Linked DNA regions of Pelodiscus sinensis. The protein of the gene in region 1 interacts with the protein of each later gene in a pairwise test. Links are inferred from orthologs where the notes say so. Each region holds a gene or a part of one and is shown in the gene's direction. Other genes may lie near its edges.

The links.
Region 2: the proteins of SPA17 (region 1) and myosin light polypeptide 6 interact in binary tests that used the Homo sapiens proteins (3 or more experiments, as listed by UniProt). The two-hybrid records come from large-scale screens. The link is inferred for Pelodiscus sinensis from reciprocal best matches to the Homo sapiens genes SPA17 and MYL6B.

Annotation. Positions count from the first base shown.
Region 1 is NC_134736.1:12,365,543-12,381,044, reverse strand, and holds SPA17 (sperm surface protein Sp17), read left to right. Parts: upstream 1-8,095; 5' UTR 8,096-8,236; intron 8,237-9,161; 5' UTR 9,162-9,176; coding exon 9,177-9,330; intron 9,331-10,948; exon of another isoform or gene 10,949-11,001; coding exon of another isoform or gene 11,002-11,077; intron 11,078-11,166; coding exon 11,167-11,237; intron 11,238-12,972; coding exon 12,973-13,032; intron 13,033-14,119; coding exon 14,120-14,281; 3' UTR 14,282-14,394; downstream 14,395-15,502. Other genes in the region: PANX3 (pannexin-3), read left to right, coding at 408-1,072, 3,626-3,693. UniProt on the Homo sapiens protein: Sperm surface zona pellucida binding protein. Helps to bind spermatozoa to the zona pellucida with high affinity. Might function in binding zona pellucida and carbohydrates.
Region 2 is NC_134729.1:4,093,394-4,108,049, reverse strand, and holds myosin light polypeptide 6, read left to right. Parts: upstream 1-7,620; 5' UTR 7,621-7,723; coding exon 7,724-7,915; intron 7,916-10,095; coding exon 10,096-10,123; intron 10,124-11,024; coding exon 11,025-11,168; intron 11,169-12,209; coding exon 12,210-12,383; intron 12,384-12,804; coding exon 12,805-12,882; intron 12,883-13,000; coding exon 13,001-13,029; 3' UTR 13,030-13,043; intron 13,044-14,053; 3' UTR 14,054-14,410; downstream 14,411-14,656. Other genes in the region: ESYT1 (extended synaptotagmin-1), read left to right, coding at 355-450, 800-871, 1,164-1,250, 1,329-1,475, 1,763-1,935, 2,314-2,412, 2,802-2,933, 3,042-3,147 and 2 more. UniProt on the Homo sapiens protein: Regulatory light chain of myosin. Does not bind calcium.

The DNA of each region.
Region 1 (15,502 bases):
AGCATTGAATTTCTTCTCGTGACTCGTGTCCTGCTCCGGCTGGGTGGCAGCGGACGCTCCGTGACAGGCACACGAGCAGCATTTGGAAATGGCTCTTTTTCGGCATAAAATGAAATTAAAACGTGTTGGCTGCAGATGAGAAAAACCGGACGAAACCACGTTCTGAGGAGAAACAGACTCCTCAAGACCCCTCCAGCGTGTGCCCTGTCCCTGAGCCCCCATCGCTTCCTTGTGCTCAGGGCCAGGGCATGCAGGGGCTGCCCTAGCTGACCTTTGAGGTCCCTTCTTCCCCCTCTCCCGGCTCTGTGGCCGGTTAAAGCAGGGGCAGGCTCTAACCAGGTGTCAAGCGACTTCAGGAAGCGCCTGATTTACCCTGCTGAGGCTCTGCCCCGCCCGTGTCTCCGCAGGGCCCGCCGGGAGCGGTACTTTGAGTTCCCACTGCTGGAGCGCTACCTGGCCTGCAAGCAGCGCTCACACAGCCTGGTGGGCGCCTACCTGCTGCGCAACCTGCTGCTGCTGCTGCTGCTCGCCGCCGCCTGCCTCTACCTGGGCTTCCTCCTCCTCCGCGTCTTTGTGCAAGACGAGTTCAGCTGCTCCGTCAAGAGTGGGCTCCTCCGGGACGCACCCCAGGTCCCCACAGTCATCCCCTGCAAGCTGGTCGCCTTCTCCGCCTTCCAGCTGATCAGCCTGGCCAACGGGGGGGTCTACGCCCTGCTGGCGCCCGCACTGCTCTACAACGTGCTGCAGCTGCTGCACTGGGACAAGCGCCTGCTGGCCGTCTACGAGATGCTGCCTGCCTTCGACCTGCTCAGCAGGAAGATGCTGACCTGCCCCCTCAACGACCTCAACCTCATCCTCCTCTTCCTGCAGGCCAACATCTCGGAGCTCAAGTCCTTCAGCCGGCTGAGCGCTGTCTGCGCCCTGAGCCAGGCCCCTGCCGGCCCGCACCACATCGACACTGTGGTGGATTTCATGACTCTCCTGGCCGGGCTGGAGACATCCAAACCGCCCCCCCTGGGCTGCGGGGCGAGTGCTGAGGAAAACCCCCCTGCTCCGAGCAGTGAAGTCCTGGGTAAGAGTCAGATGGAGCCTCCCTCTGGGCTGCTTTGAATCAAAGCAGGGAAATCTTGGTGGGAAGCCAATGAAAAATCAGCAGTGCTGGCAAATTGCCCCCATTCCCCGCCAGATCTGGGCACCTGGCTTGGGGTGAGCTTCCCCCGCTGGTCCCCATGCCCTGGGCAGCCCCCTTCCGAGTGTCTTGGGCGGGTGCCCAGCACGTCCAGGAGAGACTTCTCTGGTCTGTCGCCCTGCATTCTCCTTGCTGGCGTCTCCTTACCTCTCCCCCCCACCCCAGGGATCCTGGTGCTGAGCAGTGAACCCCCGTCTGCCAGGGAACTGCCCAGTCCTCGTGTGTCCTGGGAGAAGGCCAAGGGCCAGTGTTCAGAAGCTGGCCTGTAGCTCAGCCGAGCAGGGCCAGGGCGTTGTGTGGGGCACACATGCTGCTGGGGGCCTGCCCCAAGAGCCAGGCCGAGGACTGGCTGCAGGGCATTCCTCAGCCCCTCATTATCGATGAAAAATTCAAAGGGCAGGTTAGTTACATAAGTCATGTGATTTTCTGTCTGTTCCCTGATTGGCTGCCCCAGTAAGTGGCCATGTCGGAGTGTGAGCGCGGTGGATAAACCCTGCGTGGAGTCGTTGTGGAACGCAGACGTGCCAGGGCACAAGTACAGGCACAGCCAACTCCACGGGCGCATCCCCGGCTCTGCCCAGCCTGGTGCGGAGGGGACCTGCCTGCTCCTTGGCCCGTCTCACAACCTCCTCCCCCGCCGCCCCCGGTTCTTTGGCAGCAGCAGTGCCTTGGGCAGGTCACCGGGTGCCGCAGGCCAGCCCGAGAGGGCAGCCGGCCACTGGCGGCAGAAAGGGGCATTCTCCTGGTTGGTGTAGGCACTGACGGGCCCAACCCACCTTTCTGGGGCATTGAGGCTTCCTGGCAGCGTCTGGCTTTTGCATGTGGGCGGGCGGCTGCCATAGTAACGGCTGAACCAGCTTCACTGGCGAGCAGGTAGCTGAGAGCCAGGCCGCCTGCGCGGCGCAGAGGGAGCCGAAGCTCGGCCGTTGGGGGACTTCCCCCCTAGCATTGGCCCTGCAGGCCATGGGGCAGCAGCCAGGAGCCCTGGGCCCTTGCTTCTCTGGGGTCCCCAAAGGCCTCTGGTGGGTGCTGGCGGTCAATTGCTGGGCTGGAAATTTAGGGCTCCCCTGTGCCTGTCTCCTGTTCCCACGCCCTGGCAGCTGCCTGAGCAAACGTTCCCCGCGGGAACTGCCCTACCCCGCCAGGGCTCCAGACCCGGCCTGTCCCCTGCACTCCGGCCTGAGCTCTTTGACTGCCTGGCCCTCTTGCCCCTTGCTCTACATACCCCGTTTTGCCCTGGTTTTTGCCCCTGCCCCATTGTGCTCACTGGCCCTCCCCAGCTCCTGCACTCTGTGGGGTGGCATCCAGCTGGCTGCCTGCTCTCTGGACTGGCTGGGCCCTGCAGAGGGGAGCTGTCTTGTGCCTCATGGCTGCTGCTCTGATCAGTGGACCGGTCTCTCCCCCCCACCCCCCGCAAATGCAATCCTGGGCTGTGGAACTGGGGCCTGGGAGCCAGGACTCCTGGCTCCTCTTCCTTGTTCTGCTATTATTGGCTGTGACACTCCCTCCCCCTCTGCACCTCAGTGTCCCCTTCTGTAAAATGGGAGCAGGATCCTTCTCCCCCTGTGGGTGGTGCCCTGAGATCTCTGGTTGAAAAGCACCTGGGTCATTAACAGCTGTTCCAGCCCCTGGATAGCCTGGGATCCACAACCTGCTTCCTCCCTTTCGCAGAGCTTGGTGCCACGGGGTGGATCCCCTGGATATGGGCATGGGCTGATTGTAGCTGCCACCCCTGCACAGGGCTAGAGATATGCAGGCCCAGCAGCCTGGGAGGTGGGGGACTTGGGTTCGAATCCAGGCCCTGCCTGGTACCCAGCTCTGGTTCTTTCCTCGGCTCAGTGACTCCCCACAGGAGTGACCGAGTTGCTGCTAAGGGGGCGTCCCTGTGTCCCCACAGTAGTGCCAAGGTACAGAGCAACCAGCTGTGCCGGTGGCTAGAGCTCAGAGTGGAGCCAAGGGAGTTGCCAGCCAGGATCCCAGTGCCCAGGCCAGGCAGCTGGAGGGAAGGGAACAGGCGCCCTGAAAACCTGGGGCTGTTTGCTGGAGAGATCCCTGAAGCCTCTCTTAAGAGAGGGAGCCTCCCGGCACCCTGTAGGAGAGGCCAGGCAAGGGCAGTACCTTGGACACAAGGGCGCTGGGCACAACGTACACACGTGGCACTCGCTGCCTGGGGATCGGCTACACGTGAGTAGCCAGCTACGATCAGACACCAAGCCAGGCGCCTTCGTGCATTAGGCTGGTGCTCATTAGCGCCAGGGGAGCGGGACAGAGTTCCCCCCCAGCGTTACCCAGTGGGGGGGCTGAGGCCGAACCCCTCACCGTGTCTTTTGGACAAAGGAGAGTCCTGAGGGAGGCAGGTGCGGCTGGTCTCTCCCTTAGAAATAAAGGGCATACTGCCCCCGCCACTGGTGACTGTCTCCTCTCTCCCTCCTCCAGACGCGGAACCCGCCGCAGGTGCAGAGAGAGAGGCTGGCTGCAAGCCAGGCTTGCCTGGCTCCTCCTGAGGCTGGGCGTGCAGCCCCCACCGCATGCTCACAAGGCATTCTGGGCGACTGAGCAATGGAGCCAAGAATAAATTCCCAGGGCAACTCCAGGCAGCTCACCCAGCCCCCCACTGCGGTAGGATCGGCTCTGCACTCCTGGCGCGTCTCCACGGCTTGATCTGAGCCGGTCCAGTCATCCCCCGGCTGGTCCCTTGCCTCCAGCTGACACAGCACCGCCGTGGGGCCCGGTTCTCATTCTGTAGCAATTACTCCCTGAGCAGCCCCAGCACTCGCTCCTGATCTGCTGGGCAGAACTGAGCTCAGGGCGACTGGCCCCACAGGCACGGAGAGGAGCAGCGGCCCCGGGCACGAGGGCGGAAGGAAAATGGTTCATTTCCAAGTGAGCACTGTGTCTGGCTCATTCTTTACGGGTGCGTCTGGTCCCGGCGCCAGTGAGGGGAGCCGGGCTGGGTGAGTGTGCGTGCTGGTGATTTGCACCTTGCTCTGCCAACTCATACTGGCCCTGCCAGCATGGCCCTGCCATGAAGGGGGTGGGAGGAGAACCCCAGCAGCCCTGGGACACTCAGTTGGGTCAGAGGGGCCGGGTAAACACCAGAGGTGGCCAGTCCCCCAGGGAGAGGGCTGGTCTCCGAGCCTGGACTGGGGAAGAGGGGTTCCTGGGGCCGGGCGATAGCTCTAAGAGCAGGCTACTCAATCCCTTGGAGCCAGGGGGTTCCAGCAGGCGCGCTGGAGGCAGAGTGGGGGCTGGCGTTCACTGCATGAGCAGGCAGCAGTTCTGCCGCCCTCCCTTGGCACTCACGTATGTTGAAGCAAGAGAGTAAAGCGGCATTTCTGCCCAGAGGCTGGGGCCAGTGCTAGGCAGGGAGGAGACAGCACGGGGCGGGAGACATGCTACTTGTAGCTAGCCTTGGGGGCAGTTCTTAAAGCCACCGGCTCCTGGCTGAGGAGGGTCCGGTGGGACACGGGAGCTCTGGATCCAGTGCCTGGCACAGACGGCCTGAGGGACTGTGGAGGCCCCCGGCAGCTCAACTCCCATCTCTGCACTGGAGCTGCCCATGCTGGGTGCTGAGCAGTGGAGAAGCTCCGTGCTCCAGGCCTCCCTCTGTAAGTACTTTCTTCCCCCCAGGTCTGCTTCTCTGCCCCTTGGGACGGGCTGTCCTCTTGTGGATGCATCTAGTGGCTGCGTCACGGCTGGGGCCTCCCCCGCACTGCTATGCAAATCCCTACACTCCCTCGCACCAAGTCAGGGAGATGGTGTCCCCAAGGGCCCAGCAGGCAGCACAGAGCCCAGCGGGTGCAAAAGCATCATCAGCTCCAACTCTGGCCCAGTGCTGGTGGTGTCAGTAATGGGAGTCGCCCTGGACAAGGGCACAGACTGTATTTCCTGCCGGCGCTGGCCTCAGTCCTTACACAGACAGGCTGGCCCAGCCCTTAATCAAACCTGCAGCCAAGAAGCCCTCCTGGCAGAGGGGCTCTGAATGGCCCTATAACTTGGCTTAGCTCAAAAGAACCAGAAGCGGTGTAAATAACGCGGAACGCCTCGTCCGTGATGTTAACACGGGTCTGCTCCAGAGCTTAGGCCGGCACTGGGGGCCCTGGGCATTTACAGTCAAATCTGCCCATGCAGAGACAAAAATATTCTCTGCTTGGTAGCACCTGGAATATCCAATTCCCCTGAACTGTAATGTATCCAAAGCCCGCAGGTGCCTTTGGGAGTCTCCGCCTAACGTGACAAGGTGAAGTGTTTATTGGCTGGAAAGAGCCATGAGCCCCTTGTGAAATCTGGCTATTGTAGGGGCTCGCAGAGTTGCACGTCTGACTGTGGCATTGCATTCAGAGCTGGGCAGCCAAAGAGGAGAGCAGCGGCTGCTGGCTGGACTCCCAGCTCAGAAGGTAGCACTGTCACCAGCAGCAGCCCGGAAGTAAGCAGGGCAGTATTGTGTTTCCACTATTGTAGCCTTGGGGCTTTTTTCCGGAAAAGCACGTCTAGATTGGCATGGACGCTTTTCCGCAAAAACTGCTTTTGCGGAAAAGTGTCCGTGCCAATCTAGACACTCTGTTCCGAAAATGCTTTTAACGGAAAACTTTTCTGTTAAAAGCATTTCTGAAAAATCATGCCAGTCTAGACGTAGCCCATGGGACTGCCGGGTTCAAGCGAAGGGCCGGGTAGCTATCCCACAGTAACCAATTCTCTGGCTCTCCTCTGGAGTGCTGTTCTGCCTCCACGGGCCATAGGCATAAGGAAACTTTCCGGGTCTGTCTGAATGCTCTGAAATATGAACCAAAGCAGCCTGACTTGATAGCAGCAAGCTCAGTCCCCGAATGGCATCAAGCCAGCCACGCCAACTTATTATTGATTTAAATGGGCTTAGTAGTAAATGAAATGGGACATTTCATGTTATGGTGTTTTAACGGGGCCAGTTTTACACAGCTGAAAACAACTATGAGCTGACACTAGGAGGAAGAATAATTAGAAAAATATGTGGAATAATGTGGAATAATTCAAGTACATTTTACCAAGTGCCCAAGAAGCTGCAATCCCACGAATGAGAACAAAAGCTATGGCCCATTAAAAAACTAAACTGGTTTAGAGGGGAAGTGAAGACATCTATAAAAACTTTTATGTATAAATGGAAGAAAGTGTCACACTTTAAATAATCATATATATATAGTAGCCCAATGTCTGTGACTCTAGTGCTGAAATGCTGGCTGTTCCCTCTGGGCGGCACTGCTGCCTCCCACTGTGGCGCTCAGCTGACTTTTGCGCTGCTCAGCTGGGCCGCCGTGCAGGAGCAAGCGGTCATTTGGGGTCCGCGCTCCCCATGCAACACGGGGGTGCTTCATGGAGAGTGCGGGGCCCAAACGGCCGCTTGCACTGCTTGCTCCCACGGGGCGGCGCGCCTGAGCGGCGCAGAAGTCAGCTGAGCACCACGGTGGCTGGCAAAGGGGGACTGGGCGGTGACGTACACACCCATGGGGCCTGGACAAGCGTGCATCCCCGACAGAGACAGAGGAGCGGAGAGAGAGTGAAAGGCAGGAGGCGGAGAAGAGAAAGAGAGAGACAGAAGGCAGAGGAGAGCTGAGAGGGGGGGGGAGGCAGTAGGAGGAGGCGGAGAGAGAGAGAAAGATACACAGAGCGAGAGACCAGAGGCTCAGGAGAGAAGACCAACATGGAGGAGAGACCTGAAAATCCCATCTTATGACAGGCTAATTGGCTAGTATCTGAAGATACACCTATCTCATAGAGCTGGAAGGGACCTTGAGAGGTCACTGAATCCAGTCCCCTGCCCTCATGGCAGGGCCAAGTACCATCCCTGACAGATTTGCCCCAGATCCCTAAGTGGCCCCCTCAAGGATTGAGCTCATAAGGCTGGGTTTAGCAGGCCAATGCACAAACCACTGAGTTATCCCTCCCCTCTAAGTTGATGTTGATCATTAATATAAATCAGAAATTAGGAACTGTAGACAATTGATAAGGGAAGCAAATGGACATAAGGAGACATCTATGACCAGAAGAATTAAAGACAAAAGGAAGGCATTTTTCATACATATTAGGACAAAAAAAATCTGATAATGGTATTGGTTCATTATTAGATGGAAATGGTAGAATTATCAATATCAGTGCAGGAAAGACAGAAGTGTTCAGTAAATATTTCCTTTCTGATATAATCTCATCCTATGGTGATGATAACTTGTTCCATTTCACCAATATGTAAAACAGAATCTACCAAAATTAAACATTTTAAAATCAGCAGGAGCAGATAACCCACAACCAAAAGTTTTAAAAGAGCTGGCTGAGGCACTCAATAGACCATTAATTATTATTTTAAACAAGTCTTGGAGCACTGGGAAAGTTCCAGAAGACTGGGAGAAAGTTAATGTTGTGCCAATTTTTTAAAAAGGGGTAAACAGGCTGACTAAATATAGACCAGTCAGCTTGATATTGATCTCAGTCAAGCTAATGGAGTGGATGATAGGACCCATTAGGAAACTAAAAGGTAAGTCATAAATGCAAATCAAAATGGGTTTAAGGAAAATAGATGGGTCAAAGGAATTTGATAAGGGTACTAGCTTTGATGAAATGCCCTGAGAGGCCTATAAAGCATTTGAGCTGGTACAACCCAACATTTGGAAGTAAACAGTGGAGTGGCATAAAACAAGGGGGCCCCTGGCTCAGGGCCAGGTCCGAACGGGTCGGCCGGCACGCAGGCGGTTTGCTGGGTCTGGCTCCGGGTCCCGTCTTTGTGCCAAGGAGCTGGGTGTCCCGTGCAATCGACGGGTGCTCACAGGTGCTACGCAGAGGGGTGGGCAGGGGAGGAAGAGGGTCCCTGGTTTGGGGGCGGGGCTGGAGGCGGGCCCTCAGGGCCAGGCTCTTCTGTGCCAATGGCCTGGGCAGGGGCGGGGCCTAGCGGGAGATGGGCGGGGCCAAGGTTTGGCTTCGCGTTTGTCCCTCCCCAGCCACCAGCCCCAGCTGGTGGGGGGCGGGGTCTTGTTGCCAGGCAACGGAAGCGTCCGAGAAACTGCGGAGAGCAGCGGCTGAGGGGTAGGGGGGGGCGATCGCTGCCCGCGGGGGGGGGCGGGGGGGGTGTTCGCTGCCCGCGGAGGGGGGCGGGGGGGTGATCGCTGCCCGCGGGGGGGGCGGGGGGGCGATCGCTGCCCGCGGGGGGGGTCGGGGGGGGGTGATCGCTGCCCGCGGGGGGGGGTGGGGGGGCGATCGCTGCCTGCGGGGGGGGTGCGGGGGTGTGATCGCTGCCTGCGGGGGGGGGCGGGGGGGTGTTCGCTGCCCGCGGGGGGGGGCGGGGGGGTGATCGCTGCCCGCAGGGCGGAGGGGCGGGGGGGTGATCGCTGCCTGCGGGGGGGGGGCGGGGGGGTGATCGCTGCCTGCGGGGGGGGGCGGGGGGGGGTGATCGCTGCCCGCGGGGGGGGGCGGGGGGGTGTTCGCTGCCCACGGGGGGGGGTGGGGGGCGATCGCTGCCTGCGGAGGGGGGCGGGGGGGTGATCGCTGCCTGCGGAGGGGGGCGGGGGGGTGATCGCTGCCCGCAGGGCGGAGGGGCGGGGGGGGTGATCGCTGCCCGCGGGGGGGGGGGCGGGGGGGTGTTCGCTGCCCACGGGGGGGGGTGGGGGGCGATCGCTGCCTGCGGAGGGGGGCGGGGGGGTGATCGCTGCCCGCGGGGCGGAGGGGCGGGGGGGTGATCGCTGCCCGCGGGGGGGGGGGGGGGGGGGCGATCGCTGCTTGCGGAGGGGGGGCGGGGGGGTGATCGCTGCCCGCGGGGGGGGGGGGTGGGGGGCGATCGCTGCCTGCGGAGGGGGGGCGGGGGGGTGATCGCTGCCCGCGGGGGGGGGGGGGGGGCGATCGCTGCTTGCGGAGGGGGGGCGGGGGGGTGATCGCTGCCCGCGGGGGGGTGGGGGGCGATCGCTGCCCGCGGGCCCGGCCGGTCTCACAGCCCTGCCCCCCGCTCCCCCCGCAGGTGCCGGGCCGCGCCATGTCCATCCCCTTCTCCAACACCCAGCAGCGCATCCCGTGCGGCTTCGCCAACCTGCTGGAGGGGCTGGCCCGGGAGGTGCTGCGGGAGCAGCCTGCGGACATCCCCGCCTTCGCCGCCCAGCACTTCGAGAAGCTGCTGGACAAGCGGGACAGTGAGTGGCGGGCGGAGCCGGGAGCCCTGAGCTCTGCTCCCGCTGGGTGACCCAGGCGCCCGCCTCCAGCATCCCCACCTGCCCAGCTCTGCCACGGGCGGTGCAGCGAGCCCTGGATCCGCGCTCAGGTCTGGGGTGGCTTGTCCCCCTGGAAGGGCTCTCACTGAGCCCAGGGTTACTGCACAAATGCCCGTGGCTGCTTCCTGGGGTCCCCCGGGGCTCTGGTCTCCCTGTGCCCCATTTCCTTTATCGCCTTTGCCCACGAAAGCTCCTTGTGGGTCCCCCCTGGCCTGCCAGCTGATGCTCTGTCCCAGAGGGAAGGGGCAGGCAGGAGGAGGTTCCTGGGGCTGGTTGGTTCTGGCAGGCTCCAGGCTACTCCTCTCACTTTGACTTCCACCCTATGCTTTGAATGGCTCCTGTGGGTGATGGGGGCCACCCCTCAGGGCTGTAGGAGAACCCCACTAACCTGGGGTGAGGGTCAGCCACTGGGCCTGAGGGTAACTGGCTTACTGCTCCAGGGCAAGCGGTTTCTGGACACGTGAGTCCCTCTAGGATCTGCAGTGGGGCCATTTTCTTGGGTCATCTCCATTTCCCCATGGGAGGCAGCATGGTCACCACAGGCCCCAGTGAATTGTTCAAGCTGGTGCATGCTGTGCCGGCAGGCACGGGCCTCTGCGCACAGCCTGGCCAGCCCAGGGGGTCTCCTGCGCTGAGCTCCCTTGCTGTGCAGCTACCTATTTCACCTGCCAGGTGCTTCAGCAGGTTGGGCAGGGCAGGAACCTGCAGTGGCCAGGGGAGGGCTGATCCATCACTCCAACCATCACCTGGTCTGTACTCCAACTTGCCATAGCCAGGGCCACCTGGCCCAGCCCGACTCTGACACAGCCAGGGCAGTCCAGTCTCGGCCCTGATCCCGACACAGCCAGGGCAGTCCAGTCTCGGCCCTGATCCCGACACAGCCAGGGCAGTCCAGTCTCGGCCCTGATCCCGACACAGCCTGGGCAGCCTGGCCCTGATCTGGAGCCCGTCCATCCCATCCTTGCTGCAGCCTGGGAGGCCCAGCCCTGGAGCTGCCAAGGTGAGGAGCGGTGCTGTCCACGATGCTGCTGTGAGGCGAGAGAGCTGAGGGAGTCAGCGCTCCTTGCAGTAGAGTCCCTGGAGCACCCTCCTTCACCCCAAAGTACTCACCCCCATAGCCTGTACCACCAGATGGAGTCCTTTCTCCCTCGCAACCCCCTGTCCTAGCCTTAAGCTGCTCATCCTTAGCCGCACCCCAGAGCCCGCACCCCCCCAGCCCCAGGCCTGAGTCCCACTCCATACTCAGAACCCCTTGGCCCCCCCACCATATGAACTTTGTTATGTGCCCAATTAGCAAGTGACATGTTATCTCGCTGGTCAGAGAACAACATTGATTCCGCTCAGGGGTGGGAAAAATGAGAGAGGACGCTGTTCCCGTGTGCTTTAATTGTGGCTCTGTCCCGAGATGTTAGATGCTCCTGGGTGTGTTTGCTCCTCTGGGACTGTTCCTAGAACCACCACTGCAAGGCATTCCTTAGCTGGCAGGGCCTTGACTCTCGCCTGGGGGCTGTGCAGAAAACAGCCTTTCTTTTTCTCACAGCCACGCTGCCTCTGTTCTGAGTCTGTCAGTTTTGCTTCAGGATACTGGGCTAGATGGACCTTTGGTCTGACCCAGAATGGCCGTTCTTATGTTCTTCTTATGTTCCCTGTCATCCTGCTGCCACCCACAGTGAGTGTAATTTGACTGGGGAGCTTCCTGTCTTAATTACTCTCTTGACATTTATGTGATCAAACAAGAATGTCGGTTTTTATTTTCAGAATCCAGATCGGACCCAGCAGAATGGGGAGCTAAACTAGAGGACAGATTCTACAACAACAAAGCTTTCGAGGTAGGCTGAGCCGCTGCTCTTCCTTCAGAGCACAGGGCTACCGAGCCAAATCGCCCCTCACCCTTTTGCACCTCCGGTCAGAGGGTGCCGTTGTGATTATTCTGTGCAGCTGAAGAATGGGGTAGGATAACCTCCTTCTGAACACACAAGGCTCCGCATTCAGCTGCATGGAGAGGAAATCCATCTTCTGTACTGTGGCAAGACATGGCTTCCATGGAATGGGCTTGGTCAGAAATAGGGCCAATTTCTCAACCTGGCTCCCCATTCGAAGTCGGCCTGCTGAGGAAGCGTGGGCGCAGAGTAAGACAGATGCCCCCCATGATCCAGATCCAGGAACATGGCTTGTGTTGTCTTAGCACTCTGAGCAAGGCACCCAAGCTCCCCTCCAGGGCATGGACAGCTCCGTGGGGTGTGTGATACAAGTCATATTTCGCTGTGTTGTACAGAGAGGTGATACCCTGCTGCGTGTTTAGAAATGGCCTTGCTAGGGACCTCCCGTGCATGTTGACCACAAAGACATAGGAGTCAAGGTTCTAGCTTGATTTCCAGCCAGTCTCCTGCATTTGCTGCTAACTTAAAAATTAGTCAGTAAACTCCTTTGGGCAGGGGTTTTGTCTAAGCTGCGCCGGGGTGTTTTGCCCACACTCTGGTGCTGTTAAAACAGTTGCCAGTAGTGGCAATCGGATGCCTTGTGAAACCCAGACTTCAGCTCTGCAAATCCCCATTCACGGAAGCTGAGTGAGGGCTTGAAGTGAGAAAGGGGACCAGGAGAAATACAGTGTCACATGGAGGGAGAGAAGCTGAATTTCCATTTGGGAGCCTTTTTCCAGAACAGCCTCTAAGACAGTGAGGGGCAAGCTAGGCTAGTGAGTGGGCCGCACAAGTGGCCCTCCTCCATCTCAGTGGCTGCACGATGTCATAACTAACACTGTCTCCCAGGACGGGGTTGCTGTGCTCCCTGCGCTGGTGTACCTAGAGTGTGCAGCATGAGCCTGTGACGGGTGCAGAGGGAGTGCGCGGCTCTCATGGTCCATGTTGTGTGCAATCAGCCCACACCTCACTTCCCGTGCCCTGGCTTTATGTGCATGTCACTTAGGGTATGTCTACACTACCCCCCTAGTTCGAACTAGGGGGGGTAATGTAGTCATACGGAGTTGCAAATGAAGCCTGGGATTTGAATTTCCCGAGCTTCATTTGCATGAAGCCGGCCGGCGCCATTTTTAAATGCCGGCTAGTTCGGACTCCGTGCCGCGCGGCTACACGCGGCACGAACTAGCTAGTTCGGATTAGGCTTCCTATTAGGCTGTACTAGGTGTACAGCTAGTTCGGATAGGAAGCCTAATCCGAACTAGCTAATCCGTGCCGCGTGTAGCCGCGCGGCACGGAGTCCGAACTAGCCGGCATTTAAAAATGGCGCCGGCCGGCTTCATGCAAATGAAGCTCGGGAAATTCAAATCCCGGGCTTCATTTGCAACTCTGTATGACTACATTACCCCCCCTAGTTCGAACTAGAGGGGTAGTGTAGACATACCCTTTAATAATATGGGTAGGAAAAAACCGACGCGGCCGGAAAGCAGTGGAATCTGGCCACCCTGCACGTGGGCAACAAAATGTCTCATGGGCCACACGTAGAACCCCGACAGGCCCATCTCTGCTCTAAGGAGACCCACTGGCGCTCTCCTCTGGTCTCAAGTCACGGTTGGTTAAACCTTCCTTTTTTTTGATCTTCTTCCAGGAGGCTGCAACTGTGAAAGAAGAGGTTAGGGAGTCAGTGAGAGATCCGGCCATAGAGTCAGTAAGTACTCTCCCGAGGTCTGCCCGGACGTTGGTTCTGTCGGCACTGCTCCCGGCGTCCACGTCCAGATAGCTAGGCCGGAGTTGGAAGTGCTCCATCAGTCCCCAGGCCCAAATCCTTTTAGGAGACACATTTTGCCCCAGCTGGTTTAGGATCCTCCCCTTGCATGTGATTTCCCAGAGTCACACTCAGACTGCAAGGAAGTGTGGAGTCACACCTTCAGCTCTGGGGAGTCTTTTCAGTAGAGTTGCGGGGGGGGAGCAGTGTTCCATCTGCCTTTGTAGTGTGGTTCTGCGTCCCTCCTTCCCCATTCTGAATGCTAATGTCTAGATCACCGAGCTAATGAATCGCTCCCCCAGCTAATGAATCAATAGGCTGCTCTATCTGCAACTTGGTGTTGTAACTGACTCCCTGTCCCAGCTGGGGCACCCCGCTGGAGGTTGGGGAGCCTGATTTGTCTCCCGCTCTCTTTTGCTCCCCCTCTGCCCTGTGCCTCAGTCTCTCTCATGCTCGATAGCGTGTTCACAGTGCTCCGCGTTTTTAACAATCAGCATTTGCCAACAGTTGTCACTCCTGGGAATGTGAGAGGCCGTCATTTGCCCCATGCTCAGTGGGAAATAACTGTGCTGTCACCCCCCGAAGTAGTAAATCTTGGCAAATGCTGCTCGTTTAATGGCATCCTGCGTCTCCCACAAAAGGGAGCTGTGTTCCTGGTGCTCTGGGAGGAGCAGTTGGCATTTAGATAAGGGCCAGATCACAATGTTTTCACTCAGACAAGCCTTCCAGTGAATCAGAGGAAGTTCTGCCTGAGTAAGGGCCCCAGGATTTGGCACTAAAACAACCCCCCCCCCCCCCCCCCGATTATTAGATCTGTGGCGACAACAACAAACAAGTAAAGACGACAAACCACGTTTTGTTTCCCTCTCAGCCTTTGGTTCACACACCGCTTCCAAAGGCCTTTGGGAAGCAGCAGTTTTCAGGGGCTGCCCATTAGGCACATTTACTGCGACTTAGGCATTGGTGTGTGCTGCAAGACAATGAGCAGCCTGTCAGCCGTTCCCTCTGTGGTTTTATTCCCCTCGCGAAGGAGCTTGACACACGTGGACTCTACCAAACAAGCACCCATGAAATAGAGGAGAAAGCTGCCACAAAAATCCAGGCTGCTTACAGGGGATACAGGGTGAGAGAGACAGTGAGGAGAATGAAGGAACTTGCTCGGGATGCAGCGAACCGCAAGGAAGAAAGCTAGTGCAGTCCGACCTGCGCCTGCCCCACCCTGGCTTGCAGACTAGATGCAGGTGACGTTGGTCAGTACTGACTGTAAGTTTATTTTTGTTGACTAAACATCACATTTTCAAACTACCCCCAGCACTGTGCCATTTCATTTCCTCAGGAGTCTGTTTGCAGAGCCGCTGGTTCGATCTGTCATGGGCAAACACTGGGCCCTGGCGAGCTTGCTGTGATCTGGTTCGCCAGAGAACTGTCTTTCTGCAAATGTTCCTTCTCAGAGCAAACATGCCATTGTGGGAAGCAAGTCGCACTGGCTGTGCGCTAGGGTCTCCCCACGGGGCTGTGGGAGTGAACCCAGAGACATGTGCTGCAGCCCATCCCTTCTGCTCTGCTCCACCTCCTCTCCAGCCTCAGGTCTAGGGATTGGCCCCGGGGTCTTTGCCTCCCCAGACCGGACTGGGCAATGGACTGGTCTGTCTCTGGCCCAATCACTAAATGTGGCCACAGCAGAACAGTCATTGAGCCAGGGAGTCGGAGTGGGGGTGACTAATCCGGTGACTTGGGGGGCCAGGCCCTGCTCCGTTCTCTCTCGTTATGTGTACAGCGCGTAGCAGCTTCAACAGGAGGGACCCCCACATCTGACTGCCCCCGAGCTCAGTGGCTAGAGCACTGTCCTGAGGCGGGATCCAAACGGGGCTCCCTTCTCTCCCTCAGCAGCCCGGGGAGTGCCTGAACCGGCGGGCTCGGAGTGGTGAGGTGGGCTGCTGCTCCGGCATCAGCCAGACTGGGCCTGGATTGGGTCCCGCCCTGGCTTAGGCAGCTGGATGCCAGGCTTTGTGAATTGCTCTGGGGCTTCGGCGTGAGCGAGGCAGCAGCTCTGACTCTGCAACGCTAGGTGCTGAGCAAGCTTAGGCACCCGCACGGCGCAGGGGAGGGTTGTGGGTTGCAGTGAAGCTAAAAGTGTGTTTAGGTGCCTAACTCTAGGGGTTTGTGGTTCGCACCCCATCTGCCACAGCTTCCCTCTGTGGTGAGGGTGACTCGAGACGATTAAACCATGTTCATAAAGTGGTTCGATGGCCTGGCTGAAACGGTGCCATGAAAGTGCCTTGTATTAGATTTCTGCCCGGGAAAGCAGAGAAGGGAATCAAGAAGGAAGGGCTCTATGAAATATGAGCTGGAGCAGGACTGGTAATGCCATACACATGCCCGGGTCTGCCTTTCCAGACCGTGTGCTGTCACT
Region 2 (14,656 bases), on another chromosome or scaffold:
CTGGGGGGGCAGAGCTGGGGGGGAGTGAGGGGCACTGGCAGGGCGGAGGGGGCAGAGCTGGGGGGGGAGTGAGGGGCACTGGCAGGGCTGGGGGGGAGTGAGGGGCACCGTCAGGGCTGGGGGGGCAGAGCTGGGGGGGGAGTGAGGGGCACTGGCAGGGCGGGGGGGCAGGACTGGGGGGGGAGTGAGGGGCACCGTCAGGGCTGGGGGGGCAGAGCTGGGGGGGGAGTGAGGGGCACCGTCAGGGCTGCGTGCCAGGCACGTGCTCTGTCCCAGCCCTCGTGGTTCACGCCGGGTCTCCTGGCCCAGCCACTGCCCCGGGTGGCCCCCGTGCTCACGCTGGCTCCCCTCCAGGTGCTGATGGTGAACAGTCTGATCCAGACCCAGCAGAGCGCGGAGCTGTCGTCCGCCCTGCTCTCCGTCTTCCTGGACCAGGCGGCCAACCTGCCGGTGAGCGCGCCCCGGCCCCCCGCCTGCTCTCCCCGCCCCCTCGGACGCCTGGGCCCCCTCCGCGCCCTGGCCTCCAGCGCCGCCCCCTGCAGGGGCTGCTCACTCTGCCCCCATCCTGGTGGGGCTGGAGACGCCCCCAGAGCGCAGCGTCACCCGGTGCCAGTCACCCCAAGCAGGGCAGGCTCCCAGGTTGCCCCATCACCGGCTGGGGGCCTTGGGCACAGCTTGGTGCCCCCAGCCCGAGTGGCCACACCCCCCCCCCCCCAGTCCCTGGAGGGCGAGGGGGCTCGGTTAGCTCCATGGGGCTCGTGCCCCCCTATTTCCTCCACTCACCTCCCCATCTCCACAGCTCCTGAAGGGCTCTAAGCCCCCCAGCCCCTACGTCAGCCTCGTCGTCCAGGAGGTGTCCCACAAGAGCAAGGTAGCGGGGGATGGGGGGGCTGGCCTGGTGGGGGGGGCTGCTGGAGGGGGAGAGGCACCAGGACAGGTGGGGGGTGTTGGATGGGGCCCTGTGGGGTGGGGGGGTGGTCTGGGGGCTGGCCTGGTGGTGGGGGCTGCTGGAGGGGGAGGCATTGGGGGGTACCTGAACCCAGGGTTGTGCTGTGGGGAGGGGCACCCCTGCGAGTTTGAGGGGAGGGTGGCAGCTGGTTGGCGGTTCGGGGGGGGGGGGTCCTGGCTCCTCTGCTTTCACAGGCTCCACCTTCCCCCCCCAGGTCTCCCGTGCCAACGCGGAGCCCATCTGGGACGAAGGTTTCTCCTTCCTCGTCAAGCGTCCCCATGTGGAGTCCTTGGAGCTGCAGGTAAATCCCCCCCCAGTGCCCCCTCCCGCACTGTCTGACTCGGCCTGAGCCCTGACTGTCCGTCCCTCCTGCCCGCAGGTGAAGGACGAGGGGGGGCAGGGCCTGGGGGCGCTGAGCCTGCCCCTCACCCAGCTGCTGGCGGCCGAGTCGCTGACACTGGATCGCTGGTTCCCGCTCACCCGCTCCGGCCCCACCAGCCAGGTCCTGCTGCGGGTGCAGCTCAGGGTGAGTTGCCCAGAGAGGTGGGGAGGGCTGGGGGCGGCGGGACTCAGTTTATGGAGTGTGCAGGGGCACTCGATACATGGGGTGAGCGGCTGGGGCCATGGGGTGAGGGAACTGGGGGGGGGGGGCGCGTGGGGCAAGGGGGTTCAGTGCGGGGGCGAAGGGGGGGCATGGAGTGTGAGGCTGGGAGTCTTGGTGTGGGGGGGCAGGGCACGTGATGTGTGGGGTGAAGGCGGCTCAGGGCTTGGGGGACTGGAGGCCGAACCCCTCTGATTCCCTTCTGCCCCCAGATCCTGCTGTCCCAGCACTCGGGGGTGGAGCCCCGCAGCGCCCCGTCAGCCGGTGACGAGGCCGAGAGCCACGCGTGGGGGCCGGGGCTGGAGCTCTACACCGGGGAAGACGGGGACCCCGGGGGTGCCAGCCCCGCACAGGATCTGCGTCAGCGCCTCACCCACACGGACAGGTGGGGGGCCACCCACGTGGGGGGTGCAGCTGGGGGGCACCCGGGGTTCCCATCCATTCCCTGGGGGATTATGCCTCCTCACCTGGCCAGGAGTCACCACTGGGGGGGGGGGGGTGCTGCCGTAATACTACTAATAATGAGCCTATTATAATGGGGCTCAGATCTCAGCTGGTGTCTCTAGGAGCTACCGTAACACCACTAATACCAGGTGCGCTAGCATGGGGCTACCCTAATGCCACTAATAATGGGCAGACAGTGGTGCACCCATAACCTCAACTGGAGCCTCTTGGTGCTACCGTAATTCTACTAATAATGCACCTGCCCAAAGGGGCAGGATTCTGGGGGCCCCTGTAATGCTGCCCCCTCTCTTCGCCGCAGTAACTCGGAGCTGGCAGAGGGCCCCCTGGGCCAGCTGCAACTCACAGCCTGGTACCATACGGACGAGCGCAAGCTAGTTGTCGTCGTGCATTCCTGCAGGTAAGGGGGGGCGGGGATGGGGATATGGAAAAGTTGGGGCTCCTTGGGAGGGGGGGCTGGGTTCTCTGGCTACCCCGTATGAGTTGTAAAGTCCTCTTGGCCAGCAGGACGCGGCTGCGGGCTGTGCCCCCCTACTTCAAGATGCCACTGCGGGGGGCTACCGTAATACTACTACTAACGAGCCTAATATAATGGGGCTCGGATCTCAGCTGGTGTCTCCCCCCCTGAAGCTTCCCTCCCTGCAGCTGTCTGGGTCTTTGAGGTCCAGCCGCGAGGGTCGCCCCCGTGCCCATGCAGCCTGGGCCCCCAGCAGGGGCCATGCCCCTCTGGCTTGCGGGGCAGCCGTGCGGCCGGCCAGTACAGCTGGGCCATGCTCTGTCCCCTGCCAGGAAGCTGAGGGCCAGTTCCAAGGACATTCCCGACCCCTACGTCTCCCTGATCCTCCTGCCCGACAAGAACCGCGTGACCAAGAGGAAAACCACCGTGCGGAAGAGGACCCTGAATCCGGAGTTCAGCGAGAGGTGAGGGGGGAGGGAATCGGGGGGGACTCGGACGTGGGCAGATCTCTGCCCCTGGGCTGGCCCGAGTCCCATCTTATGGCTTCGTGCCCCCCCCCCCCCCCCCGGCAGGTTCGAGTGGGAGATGCCCCTCGAAGAGGCCGCGCGGAGGAAGCTGGAGGCCTGCGTGAAGAACAGCGTCTCCTTCATGTCCCGGGAGAGGGAGCCCCTGGGGAAGGTAAGGGGCTATCGCCATGGTTACCACTGGGCCTCCTGTTTCGAGTGGGGCTCCGGTCGGGGAGACGGGTGGGGGAGCGATCAGCTGACCGCAGCCTCTCTCCCCCAGGTGCATCTTGACCTGTCGCAGATGGACCTGAGCCAGGGCAGGGCCCAGTGGTGAGTAGAGGGGTGGTGGCTAAGAGCACCCCAGCTGAGCAGTCTGGGAATGCCCCTCCCCCAGCTGAGCAATACAAGGAGGGGTCACCCCCCACAGCTTAGCAATGGGGCGGATCTGGGTGCACCCCACAGCCGAAGTCCAGGGCCAGTGGCTCCTCTCGAGCTCCATAGCCCCAGACCTGGGGGGGGCCTTGTGCCCACACCCCCTTAGCCCTGAAGAACTTCAGGCTCCCCCGGGGGGAGGGGTAGCTCAGTGGTTTGAGCATGGGCCTGCTAAACCCAGGGTTGTGAGTTCAATCCTTGGGGGGGGGCATTTAGGGATTGGGGCAAAATCTGTCAGGGATGATGTTTGGTCTGGACTGGACTCAATGACCTCTCGAGATCCCTTCCAGCTCTATGCGATAAGTATATCTCCATATGTTTTAGGGGGGGGGACCCTTGGGAACCTGGGCTGTCCACACTGGGGATCCTGAGCACTGTGGGTCCAGGAGCCTGGGGCGCCATCCCCAGCCCCATGGTCACTTCCAAGCGCCCTGTGGGGGGAGTAGCGGGCAGCCAGCTGAGCTCTGCAAAGGCACCTCCGCATGGCGGTGGGATGTGGTCTGGGAGGGGGCACCCCCATTCATGCCCCCCCCCTTTGCTCTTGCAGGTACAACTTGAAAGACGACAGGAGCAGCTCTTAGTGCCACGACACTCCCCCGCTTCCCAGCTGGGGCCAGCCCAGGCCCCCTGGCGGCACCGGCTTTCGCTTGCGTGTCTCTAAGCCCGCCTCTCGCCCCTTCTGCTCCCTGGGACGCGATGGAGAGGGGAGCCGGGGTGGGGGAGCCACGGCCCCCCCGAGGATGCCAAATGCTCTCTGCCTTTTAACTGACCAAAGAAAACGGACCTGGGGGCGGAGCTGGGCAAGGGGGTGGGGCCTTGTCAGCGGGCATCAGTCCAGATGCAGCAGGTGAGGACGTGGGGCAGGGGTCAGCCCCCCCCCAGAGCCCACCAGCCGGGTCCGAGACGCAGACCGTGCCGGACGGCCCTGCAGGGCGGTGCTCAGCAAGTCCGAGCTGGCACACGGCACTGTCCCAGCGCGGTAGAGAGAAGAGCCCAGATTCCAGGGTGACGGGCACAGCTGGGGCCCCGAGGAGGGCAGGGATCCTGTCCTGTGGAGCGAGAAGGAATGATTTCCATCCCCCACGTGCTGTATCTTCCTCCAGCCCCGGCAGGAAAAAGCTCCCAGATGCCCCCACCCCCAAGATCATGTGCCATCACGAGAACCCACCGCCCCCACTGTGACATGCAGCCCTGCCTGTTCTGCGCTATGGGCCGTGGCTGTGGCTCGCCCTGTCCAAGGCCCTCGCCTTGTTTTCCATCCCCCCCCCCCCCCCCCCCCGAGAGTTTCGTTGAATGTTTTGTCTTTGCTTGTGCCAATTTCTCAGCTTTTTAATGTTATTTATCTCAGGTGCCTTTTAGTTGTTTAAAAGCAGCTGGATGGGGGGGGGGGGCTCCAGGCTGGTTGGACGGGGCACAAGGCTCGGCCCTGCCCCCCCCCCCCCCCGGGCAGGGCGAAGGCGGATTTCCTCCTGCCCCCCGCTCCAGCCCCAAACGCTCGCTCTGTATCCATCTGCATTGTGAACTTGCTGCTTTGTGAGCATGTGCACCACACGGCCCGGGCCTGCACCAGCTGGGCACCTCCTCAGCCTCTTCCGCAGCAGAATCCACCAGCCTGTGGCAGCCACCGCCTGCCCCGCCAGGCCAGCCCCTCGCCCGGCACCGTTGTAACCGCCTCTGCCAATAAAAGTGAGGAGCCGACTGGCCCAGCAACGTTGATGTCCCCTTGGAGGGCTGGGTCCCAGGGGAACCGGGACCTGAACTCTCATGTCGTTAGTGAATGAAAGGGGCGTGGGAGGACTGCAGCCAGGCTGCCAGCTCCCGTTGAGCCTGATGCTTGCTGGATAACCCCATCCCTGGAGGGGAATGTCCCACCTTTGAGGGGCCCAGCCAACTTCTTAACTCCTGGGGTCAGTTCCCAGGTACCCCAGCCTAGGAAGGGACCTGCCGCAGGCTGGGTGGAGGTTAGATTCCCCCTCCCCATCTGCCCAGTGGCCAGCTCTTGCTGGAGCCGTGCGCTCTACCCTCCTGTATGTACCGGGTGCATCCCAGCCGTGGGAGCTGGGTCTGATGGAGGGGGAGGAAGCATCGGCCTGGCCTGGCCTGCCTTGCCCCCCCCCTTCCGGGCTCCCCCCCATTCCCTGGGAACAAGCCAGGCCTAAGTTAACACTGTTGCCCACTGAAGGCTAAAGCTGCAACTTGGAGCCCAGTGGCTCACTCCCCCCCACACTGACCTTGGCCCCAGTGCCAGCGCTGGGCAGAGCTGGCTTTCACCTGGCACCAGCCCCTGCTGGAAGGGGGATGTGCAGGGCTCTGCCCCGGCCAGGCACTGCCCAGCAAGACAGCCCCTCTGCCCAACAGCTGCCCTGGCAGCCCCAGAGGTGGGGGCCTGGCAGCAGGAGGGCTGCGATGAAGCAGGGGTGAATTAGCCACCAAAGCTGGGTTCATGTGCTGTCTTGCGGCTCCTCCCCTGGAGCCCCAAGGGGCTTCTACCAGCCCTGCCCAATCCCCAGCGCCCCTGCTGCTTCTCTTGGGTCCAACTCTGGGGAAGGAGATCTCCGTGGGGCCAGAGCTGCTCCCTTGTGGGCCCGATATGGGGCCTGTGAGGGGCTAGGCCACATGTCCAGTTTTGCCCTCGGTTCCATGGGCTGTGAGTCCTCGTCTCTCTCCGGAGGGGAGGAAGCGGCCCTGTTTCACTGGGGAAACTGAGGCACAGGGTGGGCACAGCCCCACCCAGGGTGCAGAGCTGGGGGAGGGGGGAATGAGCTGGCGTGGGAGACAGTCAGGCCCTGCCCCCACCCCTAAGGATTCATGTGTCAGGGCAGGGGAGCCAGTTTCACGGATATGAAGGGGGAATTGCATCCTCCCCACCTAGTGCCAGGCCGGGATCCCCCCCCCCCAGCACCCTGTCAACAAGGGGAAGCGCTGGAAACTTCGTGGCATTCAGGTGCCCGAGTCACGTTTCAGCCGGTGGCGCTGGGCCCCGGTCCCTGCTCAGCACCGCGGGCGCCCTGCCAGGCTCGTTAATAATAATCTACGGAGAAACCCGCTTCATGGGACTGCAGGGCAGGGGGGGCACGTCGGGCCGTGAGCCAAGCCCTAATCAAACCGTGACGGGGGAGCAGCCAGCTGGACTTTTCCATCAACCCCTGCTTAGCCTGCAGGGCTGGGCCCAGGGCCAGATCAGGACAGGCCCTTTTGTTTCCACTCAGGGTAATTTCCAGGTGCTAATCAACCCACCCAGGGGCCGAGGGACTCTCACGGCGCTGCAGCCACCTCTGGGGTGTGCCCCCAGTAGCTGCTTAGAGCTCGGGGCACCCCGTGCAGAGTGCCGGATGCCGGCCGTACCTCACAGCAGCATATGAGAAGGGGTAAATCCTCGGCTGAAGCCACCCTCCCCAGTCACAGCCAGTACCCCCCTAACACACACACACCCCCACGTTCAGTGCCCCAGGACTGTGGCCTACAGCACCCAGCCACGGACCAGGCTGTCTGCCCAGCTTTGACAGAGCGGTGTCCCCAGCCCATCGCTGCTACCCCTGCCCGTCCCTGGACTTCGGAGGGGCTAGAGACGCGGCCCAGGCCTTGCTGCGTGGCGCCCGGACGCCTGGGTTCTAATCCTGAGGGGGGGAGGCCGAGGTGCTAGTGCAGGAGCAGGGGGGCTGCTGACCCACAGAAAAATCAGTGGGGGGGCCACAAGTGACGTGGCCCCCCACTGGGAAGGTGACAGACACGTGCTACGTTCGAGCCTGGGGCGGGGGGTGCTCAGCCTAGTAGATTTTGTGTGTTTCAGCCCCATGATGGAGCAGTGCGGGGGGGGGGGGGCGCTGAGGTTCCCCAGCCCTGCACTGGTGGCTTGTGGAGGAGCCCAGATGCAAGGGGGGCCGGGGGAGAGGCTGGGAGTCAGGACTCCTGGGTCCTTAAGCCGCTGCCCCCTGTCTCTGGCCCGGCCCTCACCTTCACCAGCCCTACGCTCATGCCCCTCCAAGCCTGCTTGGGCGGGGGGGGGGGGCATTTCCTCTGGCAGGCGGCCTGGTTCTCTGGTGCATGCTTGGCATGGCTGCTCCCGGGAGCTCACCTCTAAGAAAAGCCCTGGAGTTGGATGGCGGGGGCGGGGGGGGGGGGCTGCCACTTCTGACAATGAATGATGCTCTCCGTTTAGCCCCCCCTCTCCCCCAGCACTGCCCTTATCTAGCGCGCCTCCGGCCTGACGTCACCCCGGGCTATTTAAGCTGGGCCAGGCAGGGCAGCCCCAGGCTGGGACTTTGCCACGGCCCCACAGCCGCCTCCGCCTGCACGAGCCGCCGGGCGCAGCCGCCATGCCCCCCAAGAAGGAGCTGCCGGTGAAGAAGCCGGTGGCTGCGCCAGCCAAGCCGGGTGCCAAACCAGCCATCGCAAAGCCAGCGGCTGCAGCAGCGAAGCCCAAAGCCCCAGAACCGGCCCCGGCCCCGGCCCCACCCCCGGCCCCGGAGAAACCCAAAGAGCCGCCGATCGACCTCTCCAAAGTGGTGGTATGTGGGGTCGTCACCCGGGGGGGGGGGCAGGACTGCAGCTGAGGGGGGGTTCCCCTCAGGTGGTAGCAGCACCCCAAATAGAAACCCACCCTGCCTGCCATGTGAATGGGAGAGGATACCCCAGCCTGCACCGCGCTGCCCACTTTGCCCAGTGCTGGGCAGATAAGAAAACACCCCTGGGACTAGCACCCCTCTCCACCTGCTTCCCCGTGGCCCCGAATACTGCCCCTCCCCCCAGCGCCTGCATTTGCAGTGGGTGGGATGGCACCCCTCCCCCACATGCTCCCCTGATGGTTGCTGGAGGGCCGGGGGCTCCCCCAGGTTTCATCAGGGACAGAGGAGTGAACACCCCCCCTCCTGCAGTGAAGGCCACTATTCTTCCCTTTTCAGATGGGTAAACTGAGGCACAGGTGGGTGCTGCGATTTGCCCAATGTAAACCAGTGGTAGAGCTGGGACATGAACCCAGGAGTCCGGATAGCCCTCCTCCCCCCCCCCCCCGTTAGATCCCACTGCTGTCCCAGAGCTGGGACCAGAATCCAAGAGTGCTAGCTTCCAGCCCCCCGGTCTATCCTCACCCGCTTTCCAGCGCTTCACAGCAGAGCTGGGACTGAAGCAGGGGATGGGAGGGGTCCGTGGAGCAGCTTAATCTAACGGAGACTCATCTAAGCAACCAGCTCCTAGACAGTGGCCAGGAAGGGTGGGAGGTCTAGTGGTTAGAACATGGTGGTGGTGGTGGGGGAAATCAGCGAGTCAGGTCTCCTGGGGTCTGTCCCTGGCTTTGGAAGGGCAGTGATGTCTAGGGGTTAGACAGGGGGATTAGGGAGGCAGGATTCCTGGGTGCTATCCCTGGCTTTGGAAGGGCAGTGATGTCTAGGGGTTAGACAGGGGGATTAGGGAGGCAGGATTCCTGGGGTCTGTCCCTGGCTTTGGAAGGGCAGTGATGTCTAGGGGTTAGACAGGGGGATTAGGGAGGCAGGATTCCTGGGTGCTGTCCCTGGCTTTGGAAGGGCAGTGATGTCTAGGGGTTAGAGAGGGGGATTAGGGAGGCAGGATTCCTGGGTGCTGTCCCTGGCTTTGGAAGGGCAGTGATGTCTAGGGGTTAGAGAGGGGGATTAGGGAGGCAGGATTCCTGGGTGCTGTCCCTGGCTTTGGAAGGGCAGTGATGTCTAGGGGTTAGAGTGGGGGTGGGGACGCTGGGAGCTAGGACACTGAGAGCTGGTGTTATTCCCAGCTCTACCATGGCTTTGTTTCCAGCTCTTTCCAACAATGGCCAGAGCCCCTTGCCAGCGAGACGGCGGTGGGGGGGGGGCTGTTAGACAGTCACAGATGGGGGCCCTGAGCTCAGGCCAGGATAAATTTAGCCAGTGAGCAGGCCCCTGTTATTTTAATGACAGGGCTGGAATGGGCCTGCCTTCCCAGGCAGCCGGCTCGGGAACAGGTGGCCGCGGGTGGGGGGATTAGCACCCCCTTTTCCAGGCAGATTTATTTCAGCCCCAGCGCCGGGCACTGCTTTGCCAGGCCGCCACCTTCTGTGTGAAGGGGGTCGGGTTGCGGTGGCGGGGGCCGGGGAGCCCCACCCGCCAGGCCTCTGTGCAGGGGACAGAATGCAGCAAAATTCCTGAGGCAGTGAGGTAGGGCCCCTATAAAGAGTGTGACCAGGGGGCGATCAGGCCCTTATATGTATTCAGCTGCATGCCCAGCCCAGCGCCCCCTGCTGGCCGAGACCGGGCCTGGTGTCCCTATGACCCTGAGCCAGGGTCTCTGCCCCATCCCCATCCCCACAGCCCCCCCAGCTGGGGCAGGAGCAGACTCAGCCCTCATCTGATCTGGATCAAAACTTACAGGCCCTTTCACCATCAGCATCACACCCATCCTGCCCCCCACCTGACCCCTATGCCATGGGACACATTGCAGACCAGAAGCGGGGAGGAGCTCACAGCAGACCCATGGCTTGCCCCACCTCCCAAAGGCCAGCACTGGCTGCTGCATTTCCCCAATGGCTGGCAGCCCCACAGAGCCTATGGTCAGGCAGGTAATGACCGAGGCATCCCCCTGCCATGAGGCATGTAGCAGGATCGGGCCCTGGCTCTGCCCCAGAGCGTGTTGCCCGGGCCCAGGTCCGTAACAGACTGTGCAGCTCCCCTGTCTTAGTTAACATCCATTTCTCTCTTTGCAGATTGAGTTTAACAAGGAGGAGCTGGAAGGTAAGCCATGCGTCTGTGTGGCAGGGCAGCACTTCCACCAGCCTGCCCCCACTACATCCAGCTGTTTCCTGCCTGGGGGATCTTCTCCTGGTGCCTGGTTACATGGCACCAGCCTGCAGGGGGGCACTGGGCTTTGGCCACAGAGAGCTCTCAGCCTGGAGGGGCTCCCCCAGAAACTGATCCCAACCTGGAGGGTAAATCTCTAGGCCTGCCGCAAGGAGCTGGGATTAGAACTTCTGGCCTTCTGCGCCAAAGCCACCACCCTGGCCATGTGAGCGAAAGGAGCCCTCCCTCAGCCTTGCTGCAGTAGCAGGTCTGGGCCATTTGTGGGCGCCCTGTCCTGTACACCCCAAAGCAGCAGGCTCTGGTGCCCTCGTGTGGTAAGGAGCCATCCCACGGCCACGCTGGGAGAGGCGTTAACCTGGGCCCAGCGTCATAATTGGGCATTCGTTCAGCCAGGCCCCGGTAGTTGCAATCCGACACAGATGTGGGCGTCACTTCCTGTCCTGCGGTGCGTGGGTGGTATTGCTTAGCCGCTGTCGCATTCCTCCCCAGAGGTGGCTGCATCTCAGTGGTGACTAAGCAGTTGCCAGGTTTCACCCCAGAGGTGGCTGCATCTCTGTGATGCTCCCTGCGGGGGCCATACAGGATGGTGTCCCTTGGGATGGGGGGACACAGGTCTCGGGGTGAGGACCCCGGCTCCTGCTGGGGTTGGCGATTCCTGGGCTTTGCGCCGGGGCGTGGCCCCAGTTACAACTGGATGCCAATAGGAAGGGTGATCTGGACCGGGCTGTGCCCCCCCCCTCCAGTCTGGCCCCGATCCTGGCATGAAGCAGGCAGGTTAAACGGGCCGAGGCTGTGGGGTTCCAGCCCCTCTGACCTGCTCCGCTCCACCCCCCAGATTACAGGGAGGCTTTTCAGCTCTTCGACCGGGTTGGGGACGGCAAGATCCAGCTAAGCCAATGTGGGGACGTGCTGCGGGCCCTGGGCCAGAACCCCACCAACGCCGAGGTCATGAAAGTGCTGGGCCACCCCAAGCCCGATGGTGAGTGAGCAGGCGCCGGGGGGGGGGGGGGCGGCTTGGGCGCTAGCAGACAGTGCCCAGAGCCCCAGCGCCCGGAGTCAGGGGAAGCGGGAAGCGATGGCGGAGAGGGGGGAGAAGTCTGGATCCTGGTGTAAGGGCACGTGCCTGAGTCTGGGGGGGGTCTGGCACAGTTGCTCTAAGGGGGAGACCCCCTCGGGTCTCCAAGGGGCGTTTCCTCCAGGCCCCCCTGCTCTGGGGGGCTCCCATGGGAGTGGAGCTGGAGCCTTTCAGAGATTGTTGGCGTCAGCAGAGAGGGGTCCCTCTCCAGGGGACGCCCAGAGGAGGCTGCTGCTGCCCTCCAGGGACAGCCTAGAGCAGTGGTTCTCAAAGTGTGATCCATGGGCTCCGGGTTCCCCTCCCCGCCACAGCAGGGCACCTGAGCGGGTGCTCTAGTCCCACGGCCCCCTCCCCGCTGCAGGGGGGGTGGGACTTGCTGGCTGGATCCAGCGTACAAAGGGAGAAAGCAGATTGGGAAACTGCTCACCTGGAGGCTTTTCCCGCTGCTCCCATTGGCCAGAATCACGGCCAATGGGAGCAGCAGGGGGTGGTGGCTGGGAGCAGTTGGGAGCATGGAGCCAGATAAGCAACCCCCCATCACCCACATGCCCAGACCCCACATCCCCTTCCTGCTGAGACCCCATATCCCCACCCTGCTCCTTACCCCCACCTCCTCACAGTTCCTGTACCTCCCTACCTCCCGCCCAGCCCCTCCCCCCTCAGCCCCCGCCTGCACCTCTTTTGTCACCATGGGTGGCTGGCTGGTGGCCCGCAGAAAGGTCTGCATTGAGGCCAAAAAGTTTGGGAACCTCCGGCCTAGAGGGAGGAGGCCCCCACTACATGCCATGGGGTGTGGCTGGGCTATGTGACGGGGGCATCAGGGGCCCCATGCGGTGCTGGACCGCCTCTCCCCAGCCACGTGGGGGTGGCTGCATGGCAGGGCCCCCCTGGGCTCGGGCAGGGGGCAAGTCCCACGGCGCAGCCTCAGTTTCCCCCTCCCGGCAGAGCTGAACTCCAGGCGGGTGGAGTTCGAGCAGTTCCTGCCCATGCTGCAGACCATCGCCAAGAACAAGGACCAAGGCACCTACGAGGACTACGTGGAGGGGCTGCGGGTCTTCGACAAGGAGGGGAACGGCACCGTCATGGGGGCCGAGCTGCGCCACGTGCTCTCCACACTCGGTGAGCGCCCGAGCCAGCCCCTTGCAGCTGGGAGGGGGAGGGTGCCCCAGGCCAAGACAGCTGCCCCTAGGCTGGCGAGGCTCAGTGAATCTGGGGCAGAGACCCCCAGGTATCCGGCCTGGCACAGCCCCTTGCCAATGGCCCTGGCTGTGCCAAGGCGGCTCCGCTACTCGGCTCCCCTGGGCACGGATGGGCAAGCTCGCCCTACCGCCCCCAGGCTGGACCCATCTGGGGCAGGGGAGGGGTGGCGGTCGGGCATTACAGGGCTCCCTGGACTCGGCCCCCACAGGGCTGTCAGTCCGGCACCTGGGCGGGGCGAGTGCCAGAGGCGTGACGCCCTGTCACTGGGCAAAGACAGGATCCTCTGGGTGTTGGTTGAGCCTCTCGCCAGCGCTAACCCCCCCCCCCCCCCGGCCCACAGGCGAGAAGCTGACGGAGGAGGAGGTGGACGCTCTCCTAGCTGGGCATGAGGACGCCAACGGCTGCATCAACTACGAAGGTGGGAGCCCAGGGTCAGCCCGGACTCGGGGCCCTCTGGCCGCAGGCTCTGAGCCAGAGGGCTGGGGGGGGCCCAGTGGCCCCTTTCTGTGACTAATGCTTCTCTCCTCCCCTCACAGCCTTCGTCAAACACATCCTGTCTGGCTGAGCAGGCAACATGGGGTAGGTGCCCCCTTTTATTCGTCAGACTCCTTTTTGGGGGTGGCTGCTCCTTTCTCTACCTTGAGACCCCCTTCCCCTCGACCCTGCCTCTTTGCCAGGCCCTGGGCAGGTCCTCGCTCACCTGTGTAGCGTAAAACCCCTCTGCTCTGGCAGAGATGTGTTTTCCCGGCCGATCCCCTCCCCCGGAATACCTCCCAGTTCAGCGTCCTTCGTCCCATTCTAGTGGGGGAAACTGAGGCAGAGGGATTTGCTCAAGGTGAGCAGCAGGTCAGTGGCTGAGCCAGGCGCAGAAGCCAGGTCTCCCGCATGCTGGTCCGCGTGCTAACCACTAGGTCATGCTGCCTGAGAAACAGGCCCGGGTAGGATGCCCGCAGACAGGGCCAGCGTGAGTCTGGCTCAAGCCTGGTGAACTAGCTCTGGTACCAGCTGTGGCCCAAGACCATCAGACCGGCCCAGCTCCACTCTGCAGCACCGTGTCCCTAACGGGGCCCTGCAGGGTGCAATCAAACCTCTGAGGGGCCTGGGGAGCTGCCTCCAGAGCCCCAGGGGGGCCCCAGGGTGGAAGAGCCCCATGCAAAGGGGGCAGCGAGGCTTTGCTTTTATCACTCAGGATAGGGCATCGGGGTGCCTGGCCCCTACGCCCAGCTCTGACGTGGCCTCAGGCAAGCCCCTTCCCGTGCCTCAGTTTCCCCACCCCTCAGCACACGTCCCTTGCGGGGCTCCCGAAAGCTCCAACTCACCAACACCGCCCCGGCTCCCAGCGCCTCTGCTAGGCCAGCATCCTGCGGGCACAGCGGGTGCCCTGCGCACGCTGGGGCACCTGAGACCAACCCGCTGGCCCCGCTGTGCCGGGGAGAGATTCCCTCCAGCCTGTGCCCCGGGGCACGGAGCTTGAGATCAAAGCGAAGCTCTGGGGCGGCTCCTCCTCCTCCTGCCCCTGCCCCAAATGGGGCCCCAGCTCCCCAGATGGGCCACACGGGGCCTCTCACTGTCTCCTCTTCTCTCCCCAGGCCGGGCAGGATGGGGCTAAGCACCTGACATCTCCGGTGAAGACTCCTAGGCCCATCAGTCTGCGGGGGGGGGGGGCATGTCCGCTGCTCCCTTTTTCTCTCTAACCCCTCTCCCCCACCAATGGCCGCTGCAAAGGACTTGTAAACGCCTGACCGGAGTCTCCAAGGCCTCAGGACACCAGTGGCTGAGGATCCAGCAAGGGGGGTGTCGCAGGGTCCCCCCGAGAACAACGGCCCAGCCCAGGGGAGCCCACTAAGCAGATCTGCGGCCCCGCTCCAGATCCCCAGGCAGGAACGGACCCAATCCCCCTTGTGCCCGTCCTGCGTCTGGACAATAAAAGCCGTTTGTTTCCAGAAGCCTCTGGCCTCTAGGGTTCGTGTGGGGCCTCCTGCTAGTGGGGGAAAATCCCCCCCCCCACCGGCGCCCTAAGTATTCCAGGGGAGCCGTGGTGCAGACACCCTGGTGCTGGCAGAATTCCCTGGGGAGGTGAGCTCTGGAGTCCAGAGCCAGGGAATGGCAGCAGGGTCCTGGAGAAGTTCGGGGAAACACACCCACTGGTTCCTATTTGTATGGGGGTGAAAGGCTGGGACTGGAAGCACAGG